Notamacropus eugenii: one gene and its partners. The protein of the gene in region 2 purifies or fractionates together with the protein of the main gene of each other region. This does not show direct contact. Links are inferred from orthologs where the notes say so. Each region holds a gene or a part of one and is shown on either strand. Other genes may lie near its edges. The genes, in order: BRMS1L, SIN3A and SINHCAF.

What was found.
Region 1: the proteins of SIN3A (region 2) and BRMS1L purify together in Homo sapiens (affinity purification with mass spectrometry; 3 studies listed by BioGRID, with this or other methods). This does not show direct contact. The link is inferred for Notamacropus eugenii from reciprocal best matches to the Homo sapiens genes SIN3A and BRMS1L.
Region 3: the proteins of SIN3A (region 2) and SINHCAF purify together in Homo sapiens (affinity purification with mass spectrometry; 4 studies listed by BioGRID and IntAct, counting the BioPlex papers as one, with this or other methods). This does not show direct contact. The link is inferred for Notamacropus eugenii from reciprocal best matches to the Homo sapiens genes SIN3A and SINHCAF.

What each region holds. Positions count from the first base shown.
Region 1 is NC_092872.1:328,082,897-328,086,645, reverse strand, and holds the start of BRMS1L (breast cancer metastasis-suppressor 1-like protein), read right to left. Parts: upstream 2,606-3,749; 5' UTR 2,328-2,605; coding exon 2,186-2,327; intron 1-2,185. UniProt on the Homo sapiens protein: Involved in the histone deacetylase (HDAC1)-dependent transcriptional repression activity. When overexpressed in lung cancer cell line that lacks p53/TP53 expression, inhibits cell growth.
Region 2 is NC_092872.1:240,370,734-240,374,482, forward strand, and holds the start of SIN3A (paired amphipathic helix protein Sin3a), read left to right. Parts: upstream 1-1,000; 5' UTR 1,001-1,050; intron 1,051-3,749. UniProt on the Homo sapiens protein: Acts as a transcriptional repressor. Corepressor for REST. Interacts with MXI1 to repress MYC responsive genes and antagonize MYC oncogenic activities. Also interacts with MXD1-MAX heterodimers to repress transcription by tethering SIN3A to DNA.
Region 3 is NC_092874.1:215,688,835-215,692,583, reverse strand, and holds the start of SINHCAF (SIN3-HDAC complex-associated factor), read right to left. Parts: upstream 2,685-3,749; 5' UTR 1-2,684. UniProt on the Homo sapiens protein: Subunit of the Sin3 deacetylase complex (Sin3/HDAC), this subunit is important for the repression of genes encoding components of the TGF-beta signaling pathway.

The DNA of each region.
Region 1 (3,749 bases), about 88 Mb from region 2:
GAAAAAGACCTGGGTGGTTTAATGGCTTAAGCTCAATATTAATCAGAAGTGTGATATGGAAACTAAAAAAGCTAATGTAATTTTGGGCTTCATAAACAAGAGGCACAGCTTCTAGGAAAAGCGGGGTATAAACCAACAATATTCTGCCTTCATCAGAATTAATCTGAAACACTGTTCAGTTCTAGATGCCACCGTTTTAAAAGGATATTAATAAACTTTTGAGTGTCCAGAGAAGGGCAAACATAGTAAAAGGTCTCAAGTCCCTGACACATAGGAATCTGTTAAAGTAACTGAGAATGTTTAAGCCAAAAGAAAAAAAAATGGGAGGTTAAGGGGGTAGAACCTGATAGGTAAATTTAATTATCTGAAGGGCTCTCATGTGGAAGAAGACTAGATTTGTTCTATTTGGCCACAGAGGACAAAACCAGGAGCAAAGGCTAGAAATTACAAAGAAGTCAATTTAGGTTTAATGTTAGGAATAACTTCCTGACAATTGGAGAGGTCCAAAAATGAACTTGGTTGCTTCAAGAGGTGATGGATCCCCCTCCTTGGAGATCTTCAAGCAGACGCTAGATGAGCATTGGTAGATATGTTATAGTAGGAATTCCTTCACATATGGACTATAACATTGCTTGAAGACTGTTTCAACTTTCAAATGCTATTATTCTGATCCCTTCTTCTCCAGCAAATTACAAACTCAATCATCTCCCTCCTCTCTCTAATCTTCAACTTCTCCCTATATACTGGCTCCTTCAAAATTTGTCCAAGAATCCTCCATGCTTAAAAAAAACCTTCTTTAACCCCCTCAAGATACCCATCCTTCCTTTCTCTGTCAAACGCCTAGAAAAGCTGTCTACTAACCATTGCCTCCACCTCCTCTCCTCTCACTCAAGTCTTCTCTATTGGCTTCATCTCATAACTCAAATGAAATTGTTCTACACAGTTAACAATGATCTCTAAATTGTTGGTTCTAATGGCATTTTTTTTCAGTCATTCTTGGACCTCTTTGCAGCATCTGACATTGCTACTTTAACCTGGATACTGGATACTTTATCCAGGGATTTTGAAACATTATTCTCTCCTGGTTCTTCTCTTACATGTTGACTGCTCCTCCTCATTCTACTACGCTGGCTAATCATGGTTCCTAACTGTGAGTTGATCTCCAATCCTGGACTCTTCTGCTCTTTCTACAAGGTCATTTAGGGACCTCATCAATTTCATTGCTTTATCATCTCTAGGCAGATGATTCAGACATCTATACATCCAGTTGCAGCTCCTCTGAGCTTGAAGTCCTGCGTAACAACAACAACTAATTACTTATTGGACATTTCCAAACAGATTATACCTCAAACTCAACATATTCAAAACAGAGCTCATTATCTTTCCTCCAAACTTCCCTATTTCTTCCAGTCACTGCTGTGGATAGTATCAGAGGTTCTGAATTCTTCACTTTCCTTCAGAGCACATATCCAATTAGTGGCCAAATCATGCTATTTCTACCTCTCCCACATAAGCTAGATTATTTCAATAACCTCCTAACTGGTCTCCCTGCCTCAATCCTCTACTCACTCCATTCACCCTCTATTCTGCTGCAAGTGATCAGGGCTGACCATATCATCCCTTACTAAATACTCTAGAGGAAACTCAAGAAACGTTACTGGTGGGCTGGTTGATTTGGAGGTAGAGGTGAGGGAAAAAAACGGCATTAGGACAGAGGAAAGTGTGCTCTCACTCCGGGGGCGTGGGGGCACCCACCCAAGGGGAGATGGCCGAGCCAGATCGGCTGCAGGCAGGGGCGGGCAGACACAACGAGGCCTGGTGGGGAGGAGCGATCGCCACCGGCTGCCGGGGCAAGGACGTGCCAAGTGACCAGAGGCAGCGGAGAGTGTAAAGGCGTTCCTCCGCGCAGGAAGGGCCACACGCCTCCGCTCCGCTTGCCCACGCCAGCTGTGGGGACCCATGACCCGGCGTAGGCGTACAGGAGTTGCTGCCGGCGCCTCCTCCCCTTCCCAGCCCCGCAGAGGGCGGAGGGACGCCGGGACAGGGGCGCGGGGTCCCTAGCACAGGCCTGGGAAGGAGTCTCCGCCCCTTCCCTTCTCTTTTACCCCCTTTCCGGGGCGAGTGGACCAGACGTGAGGCTGGGGCAGAGAGGCCCGGCCGGGCGGCCGGAGATCTGACCACCTACCTGAGCTGTCCCCATCCTCGGAGACGGACGAGCTCTCGGTGTCCTCGTCCTCCGAGGTGCTTCCCTCGTTCTCGGCGTAGTCCACCTCCATTTCATCGTGATGGTTCGTCTCCTTCTTGTCCCCGCGGGAATGGACAGGCATTTTCTAGTCGCCCCCGGCGTTTATTTCTCTTCCTCGCAGGCTACGGCCCCTTCCGTGCGGCTATGTGCGCAACCCCACTCCAAGCGACACGACTTCTCCCAGAATTGTCTTCTCCCTATCTGGAACTCACAGCCTAACCCGCCGGCTCCCGCGATGGAAGCCCTGCCATTGGAGAACCCCTTCCATGAAGCCTGGGAGGCGGGGCTTGGCCGCACGTTGAAGCTTCGAAGGCCCGTTGCCTTTCGGGAGTTGTAGTCTCTGCGAAGGAAACCCGAGTTGACTGGATTTCACAGCCTCAGCCCTGGTGATTTGGCATAACTGGAATTCAAGTCCCAATAAAGCACCAATCACATACACTCAAATCTCATTTATAGACAGAAGCACATATTTGATACATACGTGAACTATTTCCATTTTCCCATTAAACAGCTGCCATCTGAGTACCCCACCCCCAACTGTATAAGTCTATCAGAAATAGAAAATTATTTCCTCTACCCACCTTGGTTCAGAACCTCATTGTTAGTATCAATAACTTCACCGACTGTTAGAATAAGAAACCTTAGAGACTAATGTAATCCAACCCCTAATTTATGTAAAGACAAGAAAAATGAAGACCTAGAAAAATTAAGTAATTTAACAAAGATCTCACAGCAAGTTAGTGGCAGAGTAAGGGCAATAACCAAACTCACTATCAATGGAGTATAGTGGGAAAAGTACTGGATTTGGAGGCAGGATGTGGGTTTGAGAGTGGCTCTCATCACTTGGTTCTATCCTTGGACAAGTCTTTTAACCTCTGTGTGACTCAGAACATATGACTCAATATCTTTGGCCTCAGTTCCTTCATCTGTAAAAAGAAAGTCTTATTCTAAATGATCCAAGTGATGGCTACCAGTTTTGACCGCCTACTTACAGGAAGGCCGGTGCTCATTCCACTAAATTGCAGTCCTACTGAGATAATAAATTTGTATTTTCTATCTCAATTTATATGATTTGGCTACACAATACATAGAATTATGCAAATAATTGTTTTAAAAACTTCAATTCTGTTCTCTCAGCCACAGAAACAAGAGGGGATAGTGAAGAAGGAGGTAAAGCATAAGAGTAACTGAGAAGAGGATAGTCAGAAGCAACACATTTCTGTTCCTGAAGAGGAATCTAAAAGAGAAAAAGAAAAACAAATACAATTTAAAGGGTGTGGTGCCCATCAAGGCAATATTAACATTAAGTTAATATTAATAATATTGCGCCTTATGAAATGAGGAAAGAGAATATTAGAGAATCCTGGAATAAATGAGATGGTGAAGAGTGATAAATGAGAAAAATACATACAGAAAACAACATTGTAAAGAAAAACAATTTTGAAAAACTTAAAGCACTCTTATCAATGCAATGACCAACCATATCTTTAGAGGCTATAGGATG
Region 2 (3,749 bases):
TTTCTGCTTCCATTTGGTTTAAAGGTTAGGCAGAGCTCTTCATGTGAAGGGTGGTCAAGACCCTACTTTGCCTTGGGAGAGGGATGGAAAGGAGGAAAAAGAGGATAAAAGAGGATGTCTTCCTTGCTTTGTACTGGTGGCTGAGATGAAGGGTGCTGTTCTGCACTAGGCAGTACGGGAATAAAGACGAAAGTGGGCAGGGGGGCTTTGTGCTCAAGTATCTTACAGTCTAATAGGGATAAAAGAAAAGATTACAGATTTAGAGTTGGAAAGGACCCTGAACATTACCTAGTGCACGACCATCAGTTTATAGATACAGAAACTGAGGTATAGCTCTATTCACAAGTAACTCTCATATTAGTCTGTGAACTATTAGGAATCAAGGAGCCATCTTTGTATGTCTCCAGTAAACGCAATGGATGCCACTCTTGGTAGCTTCAACAACCATTAAATACCAACTGCATGCACTGGGCCACACTAGAAGGTCTAAAGTTGAAAGCAGACAGAGCCCCTGCTATTAACAGGAAGGACCAAACGAGGATCACAGATCTAGAGCTGGAGGAGCCTTTGAAGGTGGTCTCACGCTGGCCCATCACTTCACAGCCTAGGAAGGTGAGCCCCCAGATCTCTGGTAACTGGGGCACACAAGGCACAGCGTGGGTCTGACCAGTCTGAGCTTTCCGGACAGCCCGGAATGAGGATGGGCAAAGTCCTGATTGGCTCGCGGACCCCGGGACCACGGAACTGCTTGGCTCGGCAGTCCCCTGCCCAGATCGCACCGGGGCGGGGCTGCCCCCACACCGCTCCTCGCGCCCCCTCCTCTAGGAGCGCCCGGGCCCGCGTGAAGCACAGGCGGAGCGCGAAGGCGGGCGGGCCGGCGACGGCCCCCGAGAGCGAATCTGAATTTTGGAAGCGGGGGAGTGGTGCAGCGCGGGAAGGGGAGGGGAAAAGGGGAGGGAGGCGGGCTCTGGTGACGTCAACCCTGCGTGTGGCCAATCCTGTTTGGGGGGCGTTCCCACCCATTCAGGACTCCTCGCCTGGGCTTTGAGGGTATGTGAACAGCTGCTTTCCATTCAGTACCCCCCCCAATATCGGGCATTTCGGGGGTGTGGTGTCTAGGTCTAAGGGGCGCAGGGCGAGAGGAGGCTCGGCGCTGGGGGGCGGGAGGGCCGGGCCTCCCCGCCTGGACTGGCGAGGCGGGGGTGGGGGGTCGCTGGCCCCCTCAGGGGTCTCCGTCCGCCCGCCGGAGGAGGTCTGGGGGCGTCCGCCGTCCTGGGTTTGAAGGGAGCCGGCTAGGGCCGGGCGTGGTTCTCTTAGAGGATCACCGCCCCTCCGGCTGCCCGTGAACTTGACCGCGGGCTGGGGGGAGGGGGCTGCAGTGGGCGCTCGGAGAGCCCCAGACTGCTCCGGGCCGCGGACGTTCGTGGGCCCGACAGCCCGCGGGCAGGACTCCCAGCCCCTCAGCCTGCGCAGACGGACGTCCCAAGACCCGAGTCCCGGGGCCAGCCCCGGCGAGCGGGCATCCTGCTCCACGTCCGAACCCGCCGGGCCCGCGTTCGGCCCTCGAGCTCGGGGAGCGTCCCACGGGGACGGCCCGGAGAGCGGGGAGCAGCGGGGGACGGGCGCGGGGCAGCGGAGGCAGGAAAGGGGGCGGTGAAGGTCGGGAGCGAGCGAGCGGGCAGACCCGACTCCACACGCTGGGACTCGGGAAGAGGAAATGCATCAGTGCGCGGGGGGCGGAGCCTGTGAGGGAGGGGGAGGGGCGCTGTCAGCTGTGCGCCGCCGCGTCCGGCCCGCGGTGGGCGGGGCTGCCGGCCCGGCAGGCTCGGGGAGAGGGGAGGCTTCGCTTCCTCCACTCCGGGACCCGGCCTGTTTACAACCTGTTCTGGCGTTGGCTTGGGCAACCGGGGGCGCGCAGGGGGCGGGGCCGCTCATTCTCTCCTCCCTCGCCTTCCCTCCCCATTCCGGCTGCAAGACTGAACCCGCCCCCTCTTGTTTCCTATTGACTGAGAACGACTCCATTTTCCCCCCCCCCTCCTAGTTCTCTATTGGTTCTTGCTCTCCCTCCGCCAACTCCTCCTATCGCAAAGCCTGGCTCTGGTTCAAGTTGCTAGGTTTCTCCCCCTCCCCCAGCCCCGGAAGCTGGATGAGTTAAGGCTAGAGGGACTCAGCGTCGAAGTGGATTGGCTGATGGGGTGGCCCGCCTACCTGCGGGGGGAGGAGAGCGTGAGGAACAGTAGGGTGCGCCCCCTCCCCTGCCCCACACGTGGGAGGCCCGCCCCAGGCCGCCCTCCCGGAAGTCGAGGGCTGTGCACCCTCCTGGGTTTGAGCTAGGGCTAGGCCTGCTTGAGCCGGCTTGCCTGCAGATGCTCTGCAGTGCGGAGCCTCCGGCGGGGCCAAAGCGAATAGCGTCAATCCGAGCCGCGCCCTGTGGGTGTGGGAAGATGAGGGGCTTCCTCCTGGCCCCGAGCTCGGCAGTGCTGCGGGGGCTCTTTTTTCTCTGGCCCGAGAGTCCCAAGGCTGCCGCCTCCAGCCTCCGAGCGTCGGCAGGAAAGCTTGGAACCCCCGCTCGGTCTGGGCTTGATCTCGCTTCGGGCCAGCTCCCGCCTCGGCGGCCCGGATCCTCCAGGTCACCTGTTGGGAGCTCCCGGAGAGAGTTTGCGTTCCTCCCGACGCGCTCCGTGCCTTAGCAGTTGGGAACGGGCCGGGGAGGCGGGCACACCTGTTGCCATCCCACGTTTGAGAACATTCAGGCTGAAGGAGGGAGGGAGCTAGCAGAACCAGAAACCGCGGCAAGCGAGCCCAGCTCCTGGGTGTCAGGCCACACGCCACGGAAAACCACATCGTGCGAACAAAGCGCGCTGTAGTTTCCCACCGAGAATCGGTTGTTGCGGGCTTAGTGCCCATCACAAACTCGCTTACCTGCGGCACGCCCGTAGCCGAGGAGGCCACTCTGGGTGTCCCTCGCCTCCTCACCCCCGATAGAAATAAATAGGCTACGTGCAGCTCTCTGAACCCGACCTCATCCTCATGGGATTCTAATTTTGGGCAACTAAAAGGTTGTTGTATTTGGAAATAGCGGTAGTCGTGAAGAGAAAAGATCTTTGTGAACCCATTTCACTTTTATTTGCAGTGGGTTGTAGATAAGTGGATGAGGACTATAAGCGACCTTCTGCATTAGACTCCCAAATGTGAGGTTTTTCTCATTTCCCCTTTCTCTGTACCCCGAACTGGCAGCTTCAATGGACATTCCTCCGCTTGATTTTTATTTTTGGCACGAGGGCCAGGTTGTTTGCTTAGCTTGTGAGGATCAGTGCTTTCTCCCACAGTTGTTAGGGTGACAGGGGTCTGTTTAGGGTTCAGGATATTTCGCCTTTTTAATTACGTCCTTCCTGAACAGTACAATATTGGGGGTTTGGTGGGTGAAACAGAAGTCATGGGGGAGACTAAATCTTCCGTGATGCGTGCCCCTAGTCTAGATGCAACCAGTTAGCTGAGTGCAGCACTACTGGATGGTTGCATTTGTGACACTGTGGTCTTTGCTGTAGGTTGCAAGCATTTGCAAAGGAGGTGGGTGGGGTGGTGGTTAAGAGAGTAGGGGCCGTCTTAATTTTTTTTCTTACTCCTCTGTGTGCACGGATGGGGACGGAGTCCAGAAGCTGCCGCCTCTCCTCTTTAAGCAGGGATCCCCATTGCTGGCGCCACCCCTCAACTCGGGAACCCGGAATTCTCTAGGGTTCAGTCTCTAG
Region 3 (3,749 bases), on a different chromosome or scaffold from region 2:
AAGAAGACTTTTTTTAAAACGTGCGGCTGAAGCTTCCTTTTTATTTTTATTTATTTTTATTTTATTTTTCCAGAAGCTTCACTTTGCCGGGCTTCCACACCTGCCATGAACTTGAGGTCCAGGGTGATGCGGAGGCGGGTCCGAACTTTTACGTGCTGACCCCCCCTTCGCTCGTGTTCCCAGCCGTTTCTTCTTGGCGGAGCAGATTTTTCGTCCTTCTGGTCTTTTTAGTGGGATATTTTAAAAAGCTTTCTCGTACTCACCCTCTTCTCCCCTCCCATGCCTTGCTTTGTTTCGTTTCGTTTCGTTTTCAGGCCAGTTTCTCCTGCTTGCTTTGGTTGAACGGCTTCTCCATTTCTGTGGCAACAGGGTGGCTGGGCTTCCCCCGGGACTTGGAGAGGCTTGGAGAGCCAGGCAGCCTGGAAGCCTGCAGCCAGAGCCTGCAGACGGACTGTGCACCCGTATTGTATTCATTAGAAATAGCACCAGCCTCGGGACTTGGAAAGTGTGTATGTGGAAGTATGTTGAAGTAGGAAGAGGCTAGTAGCAGTTTCCAGGGTGGGATATCAAAACTAATCGTCCCAACCGTTAGCAAAAATCGAATTTCATTTCAATTGGACGGTTACACAATGAGGAAACTAACATGTATCACTCTTCCAGCAACCTTATCTCATTTTGATGAGTAAGGCTGGAAAAGGAGAGAAACATTGTTGCGAGTTTCTAAATGAATCAGCGTAAACAACATAATTGAATCACTTATTGACAAATTTGATTGTTTACCATTTCAGTGTGATCATGTAGCTGAATGAATTAAGGTGTTATTAAAATCATCGTTGTCGTCATGGAAAAATACCTGGAGCATAATATTCCTGCTAAGGTGTATAAAACTTTTTTAAAAAATTAAAAAGAGGAAGGATGCCATTGGTTTGGATAAATGGACTTATGTGCTTAAAAAAAAAGGAAAATAATGGAATATAATTGATTATTGTTCCATAGGATGTATTTGAATATGTCGTCTAGCAGATGGAATTCATAATCTTCAACTGTGACCTTGTTTTTTTAATCTTTTGCTGACTATTTCAATATAATTTTTTTCATTTTTAATTCTATGTATTTTATGAATTTTAAAATATTCTGATAATGAATCCATAGGCTTTATCATACTGTCAAAGGTTTCATGACATAAAAAAGTTAAGAACCTTTGATCTAGCCAAACCTTATTTTACAGATTAAGAATGAGAGGCCTATAGAGGTTAAAAATGGAGTCCAAGATCATTCAGGTACTAAGTAGCAGAGGAAACATTTGAAACTGTGTCTTTTAACCTCACATCTGACTCTAAATCTGTCCTAGTCTGCCTGTCGTCTAAAAATAATAGAAAATCCTCTTAGTTTGAAAATGTAATTTAAAATGATGTTTGAGTGCAGAGAAAGAAGCACTAATTCAAGATAACCTTGGCTCTAGTCCTGACTCCACAGCCTACTGGTTGTGTGACCTTGGGAAAATCACTTAACTTTGCTAAACCTCATAGTTTCTAATTATAAATTGAGGATGATAATGTTATACTCAAAATCATAACTCACAAGCCTGAAAACAATTTATTTTCTTTTCGAGTAATTCAAGGACAGAATTCTAAGCAAAGTCATTTCATAAAATAATATAGTAAGGAAAGTAGCAAAGGAATACTTTTAATAAACCTGAAACACACTTTCCCAGAGATACCTCTAGGGTTCTTGAATTCAAAGCACAAACCTCTTCCATTCCTCCATATAGATTCCCCATCCTCTGGATGTAGATAAAGCCAAGCCCAGAGGACAAATTCATAATTTCCTCTACAGCTCATTCTTAGTTTTTTCATGGACAGATGAAGCCAAAAGAGAGTTGAAAAGGGATTTAAATCATACCCTTAATATTCCTGTTCAGGTATATCAGGTACTAGATGGCCCCTGAAATTCTTTCCAGCTCTAAAATTTTGTGATTCTATGTTTCTTACTTACATACCCTCCATGTGTGTCTCTGGCCACACAGGCTCCCTACATTCCCCTTGTTCTCTGTGTTCACTCTTCCTGCTGTTGGTATGGATATTTCTGGGAAAGTGTGTACCAGGTTTATTGGAAATTTTGTAAGATGAGAACAATAATAATAAAAACTATTTTTTTTTAGTGAGGCGCTTTTAAAAAGTCTTATTGTAACATTCTTCTCCACTGCTTCCTATGAGACATCAGCTCTGCTGATTTTTTGTGAAGATTAAATGATTGCTATTAGTTATGGTATAAATTGTGTTAAATATGTAAATTGATGAATATGAAAATTAAATTATCCTTTGCCATATCATAAAATTTAAAACTGGAAGGAATCTTAGAGGCTAGTCCCCCTAAAACTGAAAGTGAAAATATAAGAAACTTGGGCAAAATGATCACCTGTCTCACTTATCTTCATATGGTTTTATACTGTAAATGTATAATATATATATAACCAATATAGCCCTTTAAAATATGTGTCTAATGTAATTCTATTCAATAGAATAGTACTTTCTCATTCATTTGAACTTACTGACTTCTTTTCAGAAATTTTTAACTCATATCTATGATTTCTTACTATTATTTTTGATTTGGAGGGGCTTTAATATAAAGAACTGAGAGAACTAATTCTTATTTAACAAAAATAAATAATTAATAGGTTTTTGTCAGTATTTATGTTTCTAAGTGAATAATTTACTCTACTGGTAGCTAATATCAATGCATTAAAAACATTTTTTTTAGTCTAGAAATGCTAATTGTTAGATTTTTATTGGCCATTGTAACTGACTCTCAACTAATAGGAACAAGGCAGCCATACCAATACCCCTAAATTATGCTAATTTGCCAGGTTGTTGGGAAGGACTATTTCTTACCTACAGTGAGCTCTCTTGCAATCTGTGCATCACTTAAAACATCTCTGAACTTACTTAGCCAAGGTTCATATCTTGGAAGATTCTCAATAATAATACTCTGTTGTTTATGGCTCCAAACAAGGTTTTCCCTAGGAACATTTGATTTTGATCCAGTTTAGCTTTTCCTTAGGAGTCTTCATAGTTCTCTTGTGAAGAATGAGACTGACACAGCATCTGATCTTAAGGTGGCTTTATTATGAAGTCCTTCTCTTTGCCAGTACCAAGTGCATCTCCTCCAGGAGCTTGTCCACTACATCACAATCAAACTACTCTTCTTGTAGTTCCTTAATAATATTCTATCTCCTTTCTCTGTGCCTTTGCACAGCTTGTCCCAATCACTTGAATGTACTCGACTGCCCCCTAAAATCCCTTCTGTTTTTGTTCTTCAGTCACTCAGTCATTGTCCAACTCTTTGTGATCCCATAAGGAGTTTTCTTGGCAAAGATACTGAAGTGGTTTGCCATTTCCTTCTCCAGTGGGATTAAGCAAACAGAGGTTAAGGGATTTGCTGAGGATCACCCAACTAGTGTCTGAGGCTAGATTTGAACTCAGGTCTTCTGGACTCTAGGCCTAGCATTCTATCTACTTAGACACCCTGCTGTCTCAAAATCTCTCCTAGCTCCCTTCAAAGTTCAAGTCAAATACCACTGCAAATACCAACACAGATACATGAGCTCCAGCTCCAGGTTCCACCCTCAAAATATTTTGTATTTGTTGTTTGTACGTATACTGGGTATCCCAAAAGTCTTAGTACAGTTTGTTCCCTCTTTCTTTCTCTATACACACACACTATATATGTGTATATATATACACATACTT